Linked DNA regions of Drosophila melanogaster. Changing the gene in region 1 together with any one later gene gives a genetic interaction. Each region holds a gene or a part of one and is shown in the gene's direction. Other genes may lie near its edges.

Region 1 (4,928 bases):
CTCTGTGCCGCATCCTGCTTAACTATGCTGTGCGCGTGGGTCGTCGACCGCTGTACGCCGACCTGGATGTTGGACAGGGCTCGATTGCCATTTCCGGGAGTGTGGCCACCATTCTCATCGAGCGACCGGCGAACGTTGAGGAGGGATTCGCCAAGACAGCGCCGCTGGTCTATCACTTTGGCCATAAGTCTCCCAGCGGAAACAGCGTGCTGTACAATGCCGTGGTTTCCAAAATGGCAGAGGTAACACTGCAATCTCTGAATAGCAACAAGCGAAGTAAGTTGGGAAGGTGTAACACATATCTTTGCACTTTTCAATACATTTTCCCGTTCATAAACTGCAAATTTCTGCATCTGCTTTTTGCAGCAAAAAGCTCTGGCATTATTATAAACACTTGTGGCTGGGTAAAGGGATCCGGCTACGCGCACCTGTTGCACGCGGCCAAAGCCTATGGAGCCTGTGCCATCTTTGTTCTGGACCAGGAGCGACTATACAACGAGCTGCTTCGAGATGTTCCCAAGGGAGTTCATGTGGTACTGCTGCCCAAGAGCGGCGGCGTCGTCGAGCGCAGCAAGGAACTGCGACACGAGGCGAGGGATCAGCGCATCAAGGAGTACTTCTACGGCAATACAAGGGCGCCCTTCTATCCGTTCAGCTTCGAGGTGAAGTTCCAGGACCTGCGACTCTACAAGATCGGCGCACCGCCGCTGCCCGACTCCTGCATGCCAATTGGAATGAAGGCGGAGGACAACAAGACCAAGGTGGTGGCGGTTACACCCACGCCCGCCCTAATCCATCATGTGCTGGCCCTCAGCTTTGCCGAGTCCGTGGAGGACGATGTGATTGGCACCAATGTGGCCGGCTTTTGTTGCGTGTAAGTGCTGCTGAACCTAAACTAGATATTATACTAGTTATATATGATTGTTATTTGATTATCCTCAGAACCGAAGTGGATATGGAAAGACAGGCAGTGATGTTGCTTTCGCCGCAGCCGCGACCTTTGCCCCCGAACGCCCTGCTCCTGTGGTCGGAACTGCAGTTCATGGATAATCATACCTAGCATTTGTAAATGCTCTGCTCTAGATGTAATTTAAGAAATTTTATATTAATGTTGGCGTTACAAAAAATACAGTTTAGATGTGCAAGTAGTAAACTTAAAGTTTTCCACAAGTTTAACAACTGAAATAACATTTAATAACATTTTGCAAAAATTAATTAAGTTTTGCTATAAAAGAATAGAACATATATCAAACAAATATTGTAATTTCTGAAAATTGAAAACTATTATAATTAATTATAACTATACAAGAATATAATATTCAGTATATGTATTGTATGTGTATGTATGTATTATTATGTGTTTCTTATAACCACTGAAAAAGGGTTTTGTAAAAATTGCATTTGAATATATTTGCAATGTGCATTTTTCGCCATTTGGTAAAATTATGTAATTCTATTCGAAAATAATTCAAACAAAATGGTGTTCTAAATTTTTTTAGCAAGGTGTGCAACCAAACGTCTACTCTACTTCCAGTATATTTTTGGTATATTTAGAACACTCAATTGGTAATATTTAGGCAAATTAGGTGCAGCCATACTGACGGCTGCGTACGTCGCCTCAGTGCGGTCACACTGTTCGAAAGAGCGAGACGAAAAACACGGCAACACGGCGGACGGAAAACTCAGTGAAAAGTAAATCAAATATTTACAAAACAAAGTAACCACAAAATGGCTGCGCTCGGTCGAATTGCGTTGGTTTAACAACAAATAGCGATGAAACGGCGACGATTAATACACTTTCAACGGGCATAAACCATAGATACTGTGGAATTTGTCGTGCTTTTCGTGTTTGTTGTGCAGCATGCGAGATGTTGCTGATGTTGTTGTTGGAATGTGTATCAAATGGTTCTAAAAACAAAACAAGAGATTTTCGGGCATCTAAATTTACGGCCTGCTTGAAAGACGTTCTGTTTTCCCCCAGTGTGTGTGTGCGTCTGTGCATGTGTGCGCGTGTGTTTGTGTGTTTTCTTCTCACTTGCTCTCTGTTGCTGCTGCATTTTCCAGCGGCAAACGGCGTTTGTTTTGGTTGCGTCGTGAAATTTTCCACTGGAAAGTGCAGCGCTGCGCCTTTCTGGGGGTTGCACACACACGCGCACGCACCGCAATTCGTCGATTGCCGGCTTGTTGCGCCGTAGAAGCGGCGGCAAAAGAGGTTCCCTAATTACCCAGAGTCACCTTATCACTTACAGTATTTCAATTTGGCGACCAGTTGATCGGAGGGGGTGATGGCGGTGTGGTGGCCCTCACACAGTTGCACAATTGCTTATCACTCGCTACTTAACGACAACAACAATTGGTGGCTCGCACACATGCAAACAAGACGATCACACTCGTCAACAAAGAAGCGGGAAACTCAATTGAAAGACTGAAATAACAACAACATAAGCAACAGCTAGCTTACACTACGCAACAAAAGTGCGAGCACGAGGAACTAAAAGTTATTAACTCACTAGTGATCAAAACTGAAATAAATTTGAATTGTATTGTAGTCATAACAGTTGAACCAATATTAATCTATTAAAAAAGATACGTAGAAAGTAAAACAAAAATCCTAAAACCTATTTACTAACAGGCATAACTCTGCAAATACTGTTGTAACTACAAACGAGAGTTCAAAACAAGGGTGTTATTTGATACCCTAGGGAGTGAAAGATTTTCGAGAGCGACCTGTTTTCAAACCTCCCTCTCCCTTCCACTTGCAGTTTTTCCGTGTGATTACCATGTGCGCCTAACAAAAGACAAACACGATCGGGTCGCGTCATCTGTTGTTTTTGCGCCAAATGTCTTAAAATTCCGGAGATAGTGCTTCCAAAATAAGATGGCTCTCGAGCCATACACAAAGTCTGCTGAAATCGAACCTCAATTGTGCCAAGTTATAGATAATAATGAAGATGTGACAACGAAAGCGACGAAATGCACGAAATCTAACAGCGGAGTGGGCTGGCGACAAATGCTGATCGGCTTTCTACTGATTTGCTTTGGCATCTCAAACAGTTGGCAGTACAAAAATGGTAAGTTCTGTGCTTTCATTTCGAACAAAGGGCAACGGTTTTGCCAAAGGAGCTGGGAACTGACAAGCATTTGATGGCAGTTCGATTAATTTGACGAGTGGCGAGGGCTTTGAGTTCAAAAAACCGCAGGGATAGACAGTTTGTAATGGGAATGGGGGTTCGCTGATATCGTTCCTCTACTTTCCTCAAAGGCTTTTGTACTACAGGTATCGCTCGCTAATGTGAACCAACGTAGTTGCGTGATTCCCAAGTGATTGAATTATAAATTGAGAGTGTTTAGTCTCAAATCAATATTTGATATTTATATTTATTGGTCAATATTCATTTTAAATAGTTAATTTAGCAAAATTTCAATATGTACATCAAAAATTACTATTCAGATAGAATATTTACTTAATAGTATAGTTCCTTATTTCAATGATTCACTGAATTTAAAAGCTTAAAATCCCATAGATAAAATATGAGTAACTGAACTGCATTTCAGGCATGTTGCCTGTTCGAGTGCCCACTGTATGCGTTTGTTTATGTGGTTTCAACTGCACTTTTGAGCTTCCCGCTCCCCGCCCCTCGCCCAGCCTTTTAGCCCCTTCCTTTGCCGCTTTGCGTTTTCCTTTAAGCTCTTTTTCGTGTTGTCAAAGCCCAAAGGCTGACAATTTCTCGGCGCAATGCTTTTATGAATAAACAACTACTACTTATTTAGACTGTAGTACGCACTCAACTTGATTGCACTGCGCATAATTTAGTACCCCCTTCTTCATCTACTTCTACTCCTACGACTACTACAACTCTGCGGCCCCACCAAACACTTTTCCACTAGATGCGACGCTAATGAGCTGAAAAAAGCAGCTCACTAATAATTCAGCAGTTGTAATATGGCAAAGTTGCCCGGTAATTGCCGGCATATTTCAAAATGCACAAAGCATTGACCCAGGCTCAAAAATTATACACTCAGAAAAATGTTCAGTTCTCATCAATTAAATCTTGTATAACTTGTACATTATTTAAAATCTAATGGTAAATCGATAGATCCACTCTATATGAACTGTTCTGTTGGGAATCATATGTAAAGTTAAGATATGAAGTCTGTAAGAGGAACTTACAAATTTCGTGGGCTGAAACAGTTCTTCTATAGATTAATATTGCATGACTCCTTGAAAGTTTTTCTCAGTGCAGCTTCAAAAAAGGGGCTCAAAGGACTGAAGTAGAAGGGACCTGCACGGGACAAGTCAATATGGAAATAGCAAATGGACAAAGGCCGTCCAAACATCGTTAAGCCCCAAAAACGCTCGAGTGTTTGGCTGAAAGATAAGCCTTCGGATTCTTCGTTTTTTTATTTTTTTTTTCCGGCTCTCTCCTTCAGTTGCAATCCGAAGTTTTTTCGGAGTCCGGAATTGCGAGTACTCCAGCATGCATGGGGGCATCCACAAAGCAAGTGCCGCCGCACCGAAAAGGAAGCCCGAAAACTTAAATTTGTCGAGCCGGGTGGGAGGAAAAAAAGCGCATCAAATATGTACACAAAGCTCCGGAAAAAAAACCCCATCTTCCATCATTCCCGGCCAGCTCTCTGTCGTGTGTGGGTGGTGTGTGGGCGGCTGGTTGGATGCTTACTTTCTTTAACACTTTGACGCGCGCACAAAGTGTTTTTTGCCAGCGTTGATTTGCCGCCCATGCCACCCATGCCATCCATGCCACCCATGCCACCACTTCCACACTACCCACCGGCCACCCAGTTCTTCTTTAAACCTTGTTCTTTTTTGCAGCTAACTGACGTTTTTGCGCGCTGCTGTCATGCCGTGTGGGGGATTCCCCCTTTTTTTTGGTCCCTTTACGTAAGCGCTATTTGCTTTAGCTTCTATT
Region 2 (4,907 bases), on another chromosome or scaffold:
ACTGCAATAAATCGAACCAATTAAGAAATGTAATTTCAAACTGAGTCACGGCAAACTTGTTTATTTGGCTTAAGTGAAGTGACTCGCAGTGTTTTCGTATTCAGTTTAAATACAATAATAATAGCAATGGAATCTAATATCTATTTATCTGTTTTCGTTCTTATAATGAATATTTATAATATTGTGATTAACATATTCAGGAAACTTGGTTTATAAACGTGTTTAAATGTGTGTTGTTGAGTTGGATAACTTAAGGTATATTTGTTAAGTAAATGAATTGGGATTTTCCAAGAGGGGTTCTTTTTTGCAGCTTGAACAAAACTTCCACAAAATACAATGACTCACCTATAAAAGTGGCAATTACGAAGGCAATCATCAGCCACAGCCAGCACTTGTAGGCTTTTTTCGAATGTTGCTCCAGTTTCTCAGCCTCTTTTCCTAGCGAATTGATATTGCGATCCGCCATTCCGGCGGAACGCGACACAACCTCCGTGTCTCTTCGGATAATCCTGTTGGCGGTCTCCGTCTGTTCCTTTAAGTTCCGAGTCAGCGAGAGCATGTGCTCGGTGATCTTCTCCTGGGCATTCGTATAATACTTGGCAGCCTGGTTCATGTTTTCACCAGAAGTTTCCTGAACGTTTGCGCTTCCAGAACTGGAGGAGGATTCATCTGCTCCTCGACGTCTTCGCAGGGCATCGGAATCTAAAATAAATGTTTTTTAAGTTATGAACTATTACATTTTTGAATTTAAGAAATTTTAAAATATGTACAAAACTGTTTGTTAATTCTTTATTACCCTGGAGCAGTTCCTTTCGCAGTTCGTTGTGATATTTGCTGTTTTGCAGCTGCCTTATTTCTTTCAGTGCATTTTCCCCAGTTTCGCTGACGGCTGAGGATTGTGAAGGAGTCTTTGTTGTGGAACCGGGAACGTCTGCATATCCGGTGGATATTTTAAGGGCCTGTAGGCGCTCCAAGTAGCCCGGGATACGTTTGACACTCTGCGGATCGCCCATCGCCTCCAGCTCGGCAAGCATTGTGTCCAGGGACTTAATGAACTTCTGCAGCCTCCAGAAGTTCTGTTCGCTTTTGGCCAGTTCCTCGCAGTTGGCCAGCAGGGTGCGAATATTTACATTTAGCTTCGTGGCCATTTTCAAGTTGAAAACATGAAAACAACAAAGTACAAATTCCTAAATTAAAATACCAGGTCGAAACCTATTTGTTGTCAGCAGCTGGTCCTATTAGCGATAGAAACTTATCGATAGGTTGTCGTGAGTAGTGATGAAAAATTATTGAGGATGTGTATGTAAAATGTAAGAATGTAAAAATGTATAAAGTAAAAAAAACATAACAAACAAATAATCTTCTAATCCTGTTAAAATTTAATTTTTAAAAATTTTTGAAAAAAAACATCAAGTTCCCAATATGCCATATTTATAAGCTTATGTCTACTTTCTCAAGATAACGTAATGCATTTATATTATTGCATGCATACTTCTGGGCGCGACTCGAAAATCTTATCAAACCTCTTGGCCAATATCTGAAGTTATCAATTAAACCGTTTTTGATAGCCACAGCATATGAGTAGTTTCACGCAAACGCACATTTTTGTTTTAGCTGTTGTCGTACGCCAGGTGTCAAGATCAAATGGCATACCATTCAAAGGTTGAATTTTTATAGTAGTTTTTTTTTCTTCATTTTCCTTAAGTGCCGTTACACGCAAGTGAGGTGTTATCAAACAGCTGACGGGGCAAAAACAATAAAACTCACCCTCTTTGTTAACGGTACTAGAGGCCATGAATGAAACACGACTTCGTTCTCTCTCGACTTTCTCTCACCGCTCTCTTTGGCGGTCTCTTCTTGCGCAGCAGCACCAGCAGTTAACGGTGCATGTTGAAAAGTTCTCACACAAACGTCGTGAAAATCGAAATCGATAAGTAAGCAACGGATTTTAGCTGCCCAGAAAAAGACCACAAATTTCAGTGAAAACCCAGCGATAAGAATCCCAAAAAGTACTAATCCAGCTGAAAAACAACCATCTTAACCGGCCATGTCCAAAAAAAGTGTTAGCCAAGTGTTTTGAATAACGTAGTTGGTGTAAATGCTTAAAAAAAATAAGCTAGTCCGGGGCCAGAGAAATCGATACGATACCCCCAAAAAAAGGGGGGCTGCTGCGTGGGCTGCCCGAGTGAAAATTTCCAGCTAAAAATAGTACTAGATTTGAGCTTGAAGAAAACCCTTGATTTCCTTTGCGTTTCGATGTCAGTTATCATTGCATTTCAGTTACATAAGTTTTGAGACCCGTTGCTGCGTAGCGAACCTATTAACGGCTTAAGGACCACACAACCACCCACATGTACCACCAACACCACCCATTTACACAGCCAAAAATAATCGGAAAATATATATATATAATAAATATCAGTAGGGCTACATTTTATCTAATCTTTAATTTGATAATGTTAGATTCTTTGATATAAGTCATGGCGTTAAAAATAAATCTCCCCTTTTAAGCCACTGAAATATAAATTTTTTTATATTAAAAAAATAAGATGGGATCTTAAATATCGTATCGTATTTTAATACCCGTATATCATATCCTCTCATAAAGCAATCATACTATTTACAGTTGCTAGAGGTAATGTAACACCATTAAGTCGGAGCTAAAATAGAAAAAAAAAGCCAATTGTAGAGTGACCCGATTGTCGTAGAAAAAGCCCCATGATGCAGCCGCCGCCGCGTAAGGTAAATCATAAATAAATCGAATTGATAAAGATAGTTCCACAATAATCATTCATCGTATACCTCGTAATCCTGCAGGGAAACTATGTGAAATTCCTCAAGAATTTGCACACGGAGCAGGTGGCCAAGCTGCAGCTGAAGAATCAGCATGAATGCGACCTCCTGGAGGACATCCGGCAGTTCACCATCAAGCGTTCCGCTGTCGAGAAGTCATACAGTGAGTCGCTGCTGAAGATCTCATCGCAGTATCTCAACAAGAAGATACCCAATATACCAGATATTAAGATGGAGGGCATGGAGGAACGCTGGTGGGTATTGCTTTCCAGCTAACTAGTAACGTTCTTTCGAGAACCTTCAGTCAATTTGAATTACCCACCTACTTATACGTAATCTCATAGGAACATGTGGAGCGTTTGGCGCACTGTGCTCGAGGAGAATGAGAAACTGGCTCGTGCTCGATTGGCCGCCATAGAGGTGTTTCAACAGCAAATCGCGGATGAGGCCAAGGTTCTGCGGGACTATAAGTTGGCCATAGCTAAGCGTTCGCTAGCCGGAATTGTCAATGTGCAGAAGGAACTCCATCTGAGCGTGGGCGATGTGGATAAGACCAAGAAATCATACTTTGACGAAGAGCATTGTGCTCACGATGTTCGGGACAAGGCCCGCGATATCGAGGAGAAGCTTAAGAAGAAGAAGGGCTCCTTCTTTCAATCAATCACTTCGCTGCAGAAGAACAGCGCCCGGGTCACATCTCGCAAGGAGCTGCTGGAGGAGAAGTCATCTGGCGCCCGGAATGACTACGTACTCAGCTTGGCGGCGGCCAATGCGCATCAGAATCGCTACTTCACCGTCGATCTGCAGACAACGATGACCACCATGGAGAACTATGTTTTCGAGCGGGTTGCCGAGTACCTGATGTTAATGGGGTAAGTGTATAATGGCATTGCTCATAAATTATAAACCATCCAGAAGTGCAAAATCGGTAAATCAATTATAAATTTTACAAGTTCAAAGCCATTTTCTAATCAATGTTTGCTCAAGTCGTCAATTACATTCTGATAATTTTTATGGCGCTACCTGATATGGCTCATAAAGTTATTAAATCATTTTATTTAATCTTATGACTCAATATGTACATATGTACATAACAGTGCTGTCTTAAGAAATCTTTATCTTAATGTTGCCTAACCATTAAAACACATCTTTTCCAGACGCACAGAGCTGTTGACTTGCTCGGCTACGCAGAATAGCTTCGGAAAGATCCGTGACCAGGCGCAGCAGTTGACGCGGGAGTACAACCTGCAGTGCTGCTACCTATTCTATCCGGTGCTGAAGCAGCACATCCAATATGACTTCGAGGCGTGCGACAATGATCCGGTGCGCAAGGTGACCGCGGAGCATGAGTCCGCCGCCGAGACGCTAACCAAGGAGGCCAAGAATCTGGCCGGAAGAGTGGTCAAGGAGAATGCCTCGATCAGGGAGAATGCCAAGAAGTTGGCCTTGTGCCAGTCGCTGCGAGACTCTGGCCAGCGCACGGATCCCAACGATCCAAATGGACCGGATCTGGACACCAAGATCGAGGAGTTCCGTGATCAAATCCGTCGATCCGAGACGGAAAAGACAAAAGCGGAGGCATGTCTGCAGTGCCTGCGCGATGGCGGCATTAACGTGGACGAGTGGGTGCAGGAGGCCGAGAATATGGGTGTACAGGAGCTGACGCGTTCGGCCAGTTCCATTTCGATGCGCACCGACGCCTCTGGCCAGGGCGAGAATCCCAGTTCCGATTCATTCTACGACAGCGACAAGGAGGAGACTCAGGCAGCTGCCCAAACGAAGCCCAAGCAGGAGCAACAGCTATCCAGGGATCGTACCTTCAGCGATAGTGAGGATGAGCCCGAAGTGCGTCCATCGGCAGCGGCAGCTTCTTCTGCAGCTGCTGCCTCGTCATCCATGATGGCCAGTAGCGCTGGTGGCTGGGATGATCCCACTGAGGTCAACTGGGGAGCTGGCGAGGAGGAGGACGACAAGGACGAACCGATTGTTCCAGAACCCAAGGAGGCGATCTTCAAGTGCACTGCACTCTACAGCTATACGGTATGTGAGCTTTAAAGAACTATATACTTTTTCTTGCCACTAATTTTTCACTTTTTCCACAGGCCCAGAATCCC

Evidence for each region.
Region 2: of arr (region 1) and nwk, changing one suppresses a phenotype caused by changing the other (phenotypic suppression), as found in Drosophila melanogaster (one study listed by BioGRID).

The regions. Positions count from the first base shown.
Region 1 is NT_033778.4:13,479,919-13,484,846, reverse strand, and holds the start of arr (arrow), read left to right. Parts: upstream 1-1,617; 5' UTR 1,618-1,692; intron 1,693-2,762; 5' UTR 2,763-2,878; coding exon 2,879-3,071; intron 3,072-4,928. Other genes in the region: cbc (crowded by cid), read left to right, coding at 1-276, 367-874, 943-1,060.
Region 2 is NT_037436.4:9,135,956-9,140,862, forward strand, and holds the start of nwk (nervous wreck), read left to right. Parts: upstream 1-1,904; 5' UTR 1,905-1,934; exon of another isoform or gene 1,935-2,009; intron 2,010-2,626; 5' UTR 2,627-2,721; coding exon 2,722-2,742; intron 2,743-2,817; coding exon 2,818-3,047; intron 3,048-3,137; coding exon 3,138-3,665; intron 3,666-3,950; coding exon 3,951-4,833; intron 4,834-4,895; coding exon 4,896-4,907. Other genes in the region: Use1 (unconventional SNARE in the ER 1), read right to left, coding at 346-702, 797-1,148. UniProt on the Drosophila melanogaster protein: Adapter protein that provides a link between vesicular membrane traffic and the actin assembly machinery. Acts together with Cdc42 to stimulate actin nucleation mediated by WASp and the ARP2/3 complex.